Linked DNA regions of Macaca mulatta. The protein of the gene in region 1 purifies or fractionates together with the protein of each later gene. This does not show direct contact. Links are inferred from orthologs where the notes say so. Each region holds a gene or a part of one and is shown in the gene's direction. Other genes may lie near its edges.

What was found.
Region 2: the proteins of HEATR3 (region 1) and TMEM186 purify together in Homo sapiens (co-immunoprecipitation; 3 studies listed by BioGRID and IntAct, counting the BioPlex papers as one, with this or other methods). This does not show direct contact. The link is inferred for Macaca mulatta from reciprocal best matches to the Homo sapiens genes HEATR3 and TMEM186.

Annotation. Positions count from the first base shown.
Region 1 is NC_133425.1:45,506,033-45,510,376, forward strand, and holds the start of HEATR3 (HEAT repeat-containing protein 3), read left to right. Parts: upstream 1-1,248; 5' UTR 1,249-1,388; coding exon 1,389-1,526; intron 1,527-1,624; coding exon 1,625-1,797; exon of another isoform or gene 1,798-2,241; intron 2,242-4,344. UniProt on the Homo sapiens protein: Plays a role in ribosome biogenesis and in nuclear import of the 60S ribosomal protein L5/large ribosomal subunit protein uL18 (RPL5). Required for proper erythrocyte maturation.
Region 2 is NC_133425.1:10,021,375-10,025,708, reverse strand, and holds TMEM186 (transmembrane protein 186), read left to right. Parts: upstream 1-1,448; 5' UTR 1,449-1,473; coding exon 1,474-1,476; intron 1,477-2,502; coding exon 2,503-3,141; 3' UTR 3,142-3,908; downstream 3,909-4,334. Other genes in the region: PMM2 (phosphomannomutase 2), read right to left, coding at 1,140-1,205. UniProt on the Homo sapiens protein: As part of the MCIA complex, required for efficient assembly of the mitochondrial complex I.

The DNA of each region.
Region 1 (4,344 bases):
TGTATTTTTTAGTAGAGACGGGGTTTCACCATGTTCGCCAGGATGGTCTCGATCTCCTGACCTCGTGATCCGCCCGTCTCGGCCTCCCAAAGAGACTCTGTTTCAAAAACAAAAAGAAAAAAAAAAGAAAGTTGACCCAAAGCTATGCATATATTGAGTACTCACTCGTTACATGTCTAATTGTAAAGACCACCTAAGATTCTCCTGTACTTTTCCCTCTGCTTAGTATTTACCACAATTTACCACAAAGTTATTAATATGATTATATATTCAACAGATCTCTCCCTGGACTGTAAACTCCATAAGGACGGGGAGAGAGGACAGGAATCAAATTGTCTTGATTATTGTTTTATTCCAATGCCCAGCACTGTACCTAGTACTCAACAAATATTTGCAAAAGAATCTTTGTTAAATACAAGTTTCCAAACATTTCCATAGTGCTTATTATCTGCCAGTCTCTGTTCTTAGCACCTTAAACATATGAACACATTTAGTTTTCGTAACAACTCCATGAGGTATATACTATCAATGTCCCCACTTCACTGATGAGGAAACTAAGGCAGGGAGATTAGGTTCTTAAGCGATTCTGTTTTATCAAATATAGACACACATTTGTTCCAAAACATTAACTGGTCTCTGTCTATGACAGGAGCTATGGGAGGTGCTGGGGACACAAAATAAAATCGTGGTTAATACTTTTTGAGTACCTACTATATGTCAGGCTTGGTGTTAGGCACTTTATAGAACTTTATGAACTTTACAGAACTTACAATATCCTTAATCACATTTGATTATTTGTACTCAGTGTTACTTACTGATTGCTTGCTTGATTGATTGATTGAGACAGGGTCTCGCTCTGTCGCCCAGGATGGAGTGCAGTAGCAGGATCACGGCTCACTGTAGCCTCAAACTCCTGGGGTCAAGTGATCTTCCCGCTTTAACCTCCTGAGTAGCTGGGACTACGCACACACGCCACTGTGCCCAGCTAATTTTTAATTTTTTGCGGGGGAAGGGTCGGGGGGGTGGAGTGTTTTCCTATGTTGCCCAAGATGGTCTCGAACTTCTGGCCTCAAGTGATCCTCCCGCCTGGGTCGGCGTTACTATTCTAGTCCAGCCTCCTACTTTCCCAGTAACCCACAAGACTCCGCCCCTTTGCAGAAGCTGGCCCCGCCCATGCCCTCTTCCACGCCTGCGCCACCCCCCCACCCGACCCCGACCCAGCAGACGACGCGCCGCGCGCCTGCGCACGGTTTCCCCATGTGTTCTCCAGCAGTCAGCAGGCCCAGCTGAGCAGCAGCCACGGACGTTGCTTGTCACCGGCGCGGCAGCCTCCACCGCCTGCTGTTGCCCTCCTCTCTCGGTGGTCTGTCAGCACAGCGCACGTCGGCATGGGTAAGAGCCGGACGAAGCGCTTCAAGCGACCTCAGTTCTCCCCTACGGGCGACTGTCAGGCCGAGGCGGCTGCGGCGGCGAATGGGACCGGAGGCGAGGAGGACGACGGGCCAGCGGCGGAGCTGCTGGAAAAGGTGAGGCGAGGGCTCCGCCGGGCCGGGAGAGCGAGACGAGGTTGCCCCGCGCGCGTGCGCACTGCTCTCCTTCTGACCCTCCTCGCTCTCCTCCCCAGCTCCAGCACCCGAGCGCCGAGGTCCGCGAGTGCGCCTGCGCGGGGCTGGCCCGGCTGGTGCAGCAGCGGCCGGCACTCCCGGGCCTGGCGCGCCGAGACGCCGTGCGCCGCCTCGGGCCGCTGCTGCTGGACCCTAGCCTGGCAGTCAGGGAGACTGCAGCCGGCGCGCTGAGGTGAGCCGGGAAGGGTCCGGGGCGGTGCCCACTTCTAGCCTCCCCCGCGCCTGGGCTGCGGGCGGTCGCAGCGGTCAGCCAGCGCCTTCTGTGTGCCACCAGGCCCTGGCCCGGTCTCCCGTTTGCAGAGATTTGAAGCCAGTCTCCAGGCTCCAGAGAACCCCAGTATCCCCGAACCACACGCATCTCATCTGTCCACCTGGCTGCTTCACCTGCAGCGTCCACCTGCTCAAGCGTCACGCCTGCGCACGTTTTACCCTCTCCAAAAGCCCTCCTTAGGGTCCCTTGCTTGGATGAACTCTTCAATTCATGTGTCAGGATTCGTTCTAGATGCAGGGAATTTTGAGCAGCCAAGACTGTTGAGCGAGATCTGTTGACAGCCAAGATCCCCTGTCTTGGCACAAGTCATGTTGATGGGGAGACAGACAGGAAGCTAGTAAAAAGGTAAAACATAATATTGCATAGTGAGAATTGCTGTGGGAAAACGAGATGATGATGAGTTGGGGGTGGGAAGTTTGAATTGGGTGCTCTTGGGCCGGGCGCGGTGGCTCACGCCTGTAATCCCATTGCTTTGGGAGGCCAAGGAAGGAGGATCACTGGAGGCCAGGAGTCCAAGGCCAGTCTGGGCAACATAGCAAGACCCCGTCTCTAGAACAATTTTAAACAATTAGTCAGGCATGGTGGTGGGTGCCCTTTATCCCAGCTACTCAGGAGACTGGGGTGGGAGTATCGCTTCAGCCCAGGAGTTCGAGGCTGCAGTGAGGCATGATCACACCACTGCACTCCAGCCTGGGTGATAGAGCAAGACCCTGTGTCAAAAAAAAAAAAAAAAAAAAAGGTGCTCTTTAGATGGCTTGTGAACGGAGATCTGCAGGGTGAGAGAGCCAGGAGACATGGGAAAATAGGGGGAAGAGCATTTCCCACAAAGGGAGCAGCAGCAGCAAAGAAGCGAAGCAGCAGGCGGCTTGATGTGGTTAAAGAGCAGAGCGGGTAGGTAGGTGGCAGAAAAGAGCAGGGGTGGGTAATTACAAGAGGTGAGGCTGGAGAGAGAGATGAGCTGTACGATTGGTGTAGGGCTGAGGACTTAATCTAAGCAGGGAAGAGACATGCTGTAACTCACCTTTTGAGAAGGCCACTCTGCTGGCTGTGCAGAGAATGGACTGCAGAGGGGGCAAGAGTAGAAGTTAGTATTTGTAGTTCTTGTAGCTCTGTCTCTACTTGTTATTTATATTTCATTCACTGATATAGCAAATATGTATAAAGTGCCTGTGTGCTAGACACTGAGCTAGGCTGTGGGCATGGGGTAATGAGCAAGGCAATGTCTCTCCTTAAGAAATCTTAAAGTTATTGAGGGAGATAAGCATTAACCAAACAGTTACATAAGTGTATAATTACAATGAATGATAGTGACAAAGGATGCTACAGGAGGGTACAAACAAAGGGTTCAGGGAAGAAGACTCTGAGTGAGTGGTGCTGGAGGTGAGCTCTGAGGGATGAATGGGCATTCACCAGTTGATGGAGGGAAGATAGACGCTCTTCTTCCTCTAGGGAGGAAACAGCATGTGGAAAGCCCTTCCCTTCCTCCCACAGCATACACAGGCTAGGGGATCCTGGCGGATTGTGAGGGCATCTTCTGACTATCTCTATATCCTTAGGTACTAGCACAGTGCTGTGTACTCGGAAGTCATGTCTTTCCAATTAAATTTACCCAGGGCTGCTTTAGGGGGTATCATTCTCAGTAGCCCCACCTTGCTGCCCTTGCAGTTCACTTTTTCTTTTTTTTTTTTTTTTTCTTGTTTTAGAAGCAGGGTCTCCCTGTGTTGCCCAGGCTGGTCTTGAACTCCTGAGCTCAAGTAATCCTCCCACCTAGGCCTCCCAAAGTGCTGGGATTACAGGTGTGAGCTACAGCACCTAGCCTTGCCCTTGTAGTCTTGATTCCAAGAAAAGGTCCCTTCATACATGATGTGATTTATTCACATGGGAAAAGTCTCCCCACTTCCCTTCTTGTAGCCATGTACCTGTATACTGTCTCAAACCTCAGAACTAAGTTGTTATATGACAGCGTCATCTGTTTATATCTTGTAGAACAAAGATCAGAACAGAACAGGTGGGGCCGGGCACGGTGGCTCAAGCCTGTAATCCCAGCACTTTGGGAGGCCGAGATGGGCGGATCACGAGGTCAGGAGATCGAGACCATCCTGGCTAACATGGTGAAACCTCGTCTCTACTAAGAAATACAAAAAATAGCCGGGCGAGGTGGCAGCGCCTGTAGTCCCAGCTACTCGGGAGGCTGAGGCCGGAGAATGGCGTGAACCCGGGAGGCGGAGCTTGCAGTGAGCTGAGATCCGGCCACTGCACTCCAGCCTGGGCTACAGAGCGAGACTCCGTCTCAAAAAAAAAAAAAAAAAAAAAAAAAAAAAAAAAAAAAAAGAACAGAACAGGTGGAAATATCTGGATTGGTTCTGCAGCATATGACAGAAACAATAAGCTATTTCCTCTGGGAAACCTTAAATATGGCTAAAAATAGAAATGTGAGAGGGTAGAAGT
Region 2 (4,334 bases), about 35 Mb from region 1:
GGCCCTTTACAAAAAATGAATTGGGGACCGGAGTATTAGACCACTATGGGCTTTTAACAACCCCAAGTGTGTGATAGCTGAATTTCAGAATCAGAAAAAGCCTTTGAAGAACTTGGGAGTTGAGTGTCATCACTAGGTAGATCAAACCTGTGGCTGACAAGGGCAAAATGATACGTCTAAGGTCACACGCATTTCACGTGGCTTTCTGGAGCACACCATTGTTACCACCAAGCGAAGACTACGAGGGGTGAGGATATTAGTTGAGGATAGTGAGACCATTGGGGTCCACTCTCAAGTTGAAATGGCCGGTTGTCAGTGGCCAATTTCTGAAAAGGGGACAGGAAAGCCTCATCTCAAGGCTGATAGTGACTGAAACTTATCTGTGCCTGTAGCAGCAAAATCTGGAAGTGGAAAGCAAGTTTCGAAAGGCCCAAAGAGGCTCTCAGCGGGCAGCCTGTAATAACCTAGGGCTCCTCCATCTTCCTAGTCCACTGCAGGGGCTGGAGATGGGTGTGGTGGAGGTGGTTACTATTTACTGAGGCCTAGTGTGCTGTGTGCAACATACTTTCAAGAACTTACACAATCTCATTTGATCCTCACAGTCACCATATGGAACACGTAATATCCCCATTTAAAGCTGTAGATGCTGAGGCTCAGAAAGGTTAATGACTTGCTCAAGGTCACACAGCTGTGAAGAGGTGAAGATGAGACTCCACTAGGTCGATTTCACCTGGAAACCTGTTTTTAATATAATGACTCACGGCACAGCCCATTGGTTACAGGATTGAGGCCGGCAAACAGCTGATAAGGGGCACACAGCTGATGTCGGGTTCAAATCCTGGTCCATCGGTCCCGAGGACTAGCGGTGAGTCCAGATTGCATTTTCCAACCAAGCATAAGTTTCCTTCTCTTAAGAGTTCTTCAGCCCCGTCTCATCTTTCCAAGCATCAGAGCTCTTGAAGAGCTGGTTAGGGCCTCCCTCTCATCCCTCCAGGGCACCTAGAATAGGGTCCAGCCCCCGTGAGGACGCAGGCGGTCCTTAGCCAGCCCTTGGCGCCGACCCTGGGTAGTCGATAGCTCCAACTGGGAACAGCACGGACTCTGAGTCGGCTGCCACCAGCCCGCCGGGCGCCACTTACCTGCCGCGGGGCGGTGAGGGTCCCATCCACGTCGAAGAGGCAGAGCGCTGGGCCAGGAGCTGCCATGTCCCCAGCGTCTAACCGCACCTCGCAAGACTCATTGGCATCAGGAACTCGGCCCGGAACTTCCGAGTTCGGCCCCCGAGCCGCAGGGCACGTCGGGAAGAGGAGGAGACTCCGTTCCCACAACGCCTGGGACTAGCGCCAGCCACGATTCCTGGACCGCAAATCCCAGGGTGCAACGCGGATCACGCCCGCCTTGTACATTCGAGCATGCGCTCTTAGAGGTTCCGGGGGCCGGTGGGACTTACTTCCGGCAGCAGGCTGTGGAGCCATGGTAAGGAGGCTGGTGGCGATCCTTGAGGGGGTGATGCTCTTTGGGGGTCGGTCGGGGTCAGAGCTGGGGCAGGCAGGCACGACGCCTGAGTTTCGGACCTGAAGAATCCGTGGGAGGAAGCTCTGGCGTGGGTTACCATTCGCCATTCCCGGGCTTTCTCTGCCCTCCTTGCGTCACGTGCTCACAGTAGTAATAGCTAAAACTCGCCGAGCTCTCACAGCGCATCAGGTACTAAGTTGAGGGCTTTGAAACCATCTTCTCGTTCACTGTGTTCTGAGTCCCCATTTTGAAAGCCGAAGAAACCGAAGCTCAGGGGTGTGGAGTGATTTGCTCAAGAATCCACAGGTAGTGACTGATGGAGCCAGAATTGGAACCAGAGCTTTTACTGCTTCACTACCCACCTAATAATATGTTTGTGCTACGTGTAGGGGCCTCCCTGCCTCGCTCCTCCTCCTCCTCGTTGTTTCCCCTTCCCCTGACTAGGTTAAGGGAAAGCAGCAGTTCCCTCCAGCACCCAAGATAACGTAAACAGAATTAGAAAGTTTGTTGGGATAACTATCTCACAGATTTGTTGCTTGAGTTCCCCACTAAGACATTGATTATTCAGTTTCCTGCTTGGGGAAATGTTCACACCCCCTTGTGGATCCATTGTCCAGCCCAGAGTTGGGACTCCCTAGATATGTTTTGAATTATTGATGGCCGCACCTCCTTTCTTGTATTTCTTTGGAATTGCCTGATGGAAGGAGGACTCTGCTGCACTCACTGACTGTGTGTTCTTTGGTAAATATCTTACCCTCTCTGGGCTTAGTTTCCCTAGTGGTAAAGTGGAAATAGTGATAACTATCTTAGATAGCTGTTGTGATGCCCACATGAGATAACATCTGGCTTTACCCTTCCCTCCTCTGGCAATAATGGTGACCTTGCAGGATTGGCAGAAGCCTTGGAGTATGGTGCTTTGCAGATGTTCACCGTGTGATTAATGTGGTTGAATTCCATGAGAGAAATCGTCTACTGTCTCCCTTTCAGGCTGCCCTTCTCCGAGTTGTGCCTAGATTTCGGGGAAAAGCTGCGTGGGAAAGGCCTCTCCATGGGTTGTGGTGCTGCAGTGGGCAGGAGGATCCTAAGAGGTGGGTGGGGAGCAGGTCACCCACCTCGAAGGAGAAACCACCAAACCAAGAGACTGAGAAATTCTGGATGTTTTACCGTTTTGATGCCATCAGAATCTTTGGGTTCCTGTCTCGACTGAAGTTGGCACAGACTGCCCTGACAGTGGTAGTTTTGCCACCAGCCTGTTACTGGTATTCCCAGGGCCTCCTGACTCTCAACACCGTGTGCCTGATGAGTGGGATATCGGGCTTTGCCCTGACCATGCTGTGCTGGATGAGCTATTTCTTTCGGAGACTGGTTGGTATCCTGTATCTGAATGAGTCTGGCACCATGCTGCGGGTGGCCCATCTGAGCTTCTGGGGCTGGCGGCAGGACACATACTGTCCCCTGGCAGATGTGATTCCCCTGACAGAAACCAAGGACCAGCCTCAGGAGATGTTCATGCGTATCCAGCGGTACAGCGGGAAACAGACCTTCTACGTCACCCTGCGCTATGGACACATCCTGGACAGAGAGCGTTTCACGCAGGTGTTTGGGAGACATCAGATGTTCAAGTAAACAACTGGGGCCTGGACCTCTGGGTAACCCTGGGTCACCTGGATTGACAGGAAGGCTGAGGGTGTGGGCACAGCTGAAGAAAGGGGATTGGGTACTTGGAGACTTTGCCTGGGCCCCTGGGAACATGTGTTTTGTGATGAAGAAATTCACAAGGCAAGAGCTGGTGTCCAGGTTTAGGAAAAAGGCTCTAAGCAAGTTCTTACAGCACTCGTGTGTGACATTCAGTCAGATAACGGCCAGAAGTTTTTGTTAAGAGCCAGTTCTTAGAAGAACCTATGCCAGGGTCACCCAGACAGTCCATTGGTGTGAAATTGAAAGGCAAAGAGGTGTGGTGGGGGAGCATAGGATTTGGAGTCAGAAGTCTCAGTTCTGTCACTTGTCCTGGGGTGGGTTATTGAGTCTCTTTGAACCTTGGTTTTCACATCTGTAAAATGGAAAGCCCTGCTTGTTTCGTGGGATGGATGTGGGAATAAATGTCAAACGTGTGGCAGACTCAGCAGCCTAGAGCAGATAGCATTAAGCATTTGGTCAGAGGTTTTGGCATGGAGAAAGGCTTCGAGCAGTCAGCAGGGACTTCCAGAGCCCTGTGCTGTGCCCCTCACACATCCAGCAGCAGAAAGGTCTGCCAGGATGTTAACTACACATCGATGAGCAGCGATGTCGTCCAAGTGAGCACGAAACCCCATTTGAGATTTGTTCACCACGCTGAGATCTAGAGGCTCTTGCTTTGGATGGCCCTGCAGTGTAATAAAGCCTAATGGACCGTATGCTGGTACGTTCTTTTATAAACTAAAGCCAGTTATATGCATTGCCCTGCATAATTAATAATACATGTTCATTATGCAATTTGTAACACAGTAAAGAGGAAGGAAGGCATGATCTTTATTATTTTGCCACTCGAAAGTCAATAAGAATGTTTTATTGCCGGGCGCGGTGGCTCACACCTGTAATCCCAGCACTTTGGGAGGCTGAGGCGGGTGGATCACGAGGTCAGGAGATCGAGACCATCCTGGCTAATGGTGAAACCCCGTCTCCACTAAAAAATACAAAAAAAAATTAGCCGAGTGTAGTGGCAGGCACCTGTAGTCCCAGCTACTCGGGAGGCTGAGGCCGGAGAATGGCATGAACCTGGGAGGCGGAGCTTGCAATGAGCCGAGATCGCGCCACTGCACTCCATCCTGGGCGACAGAGCG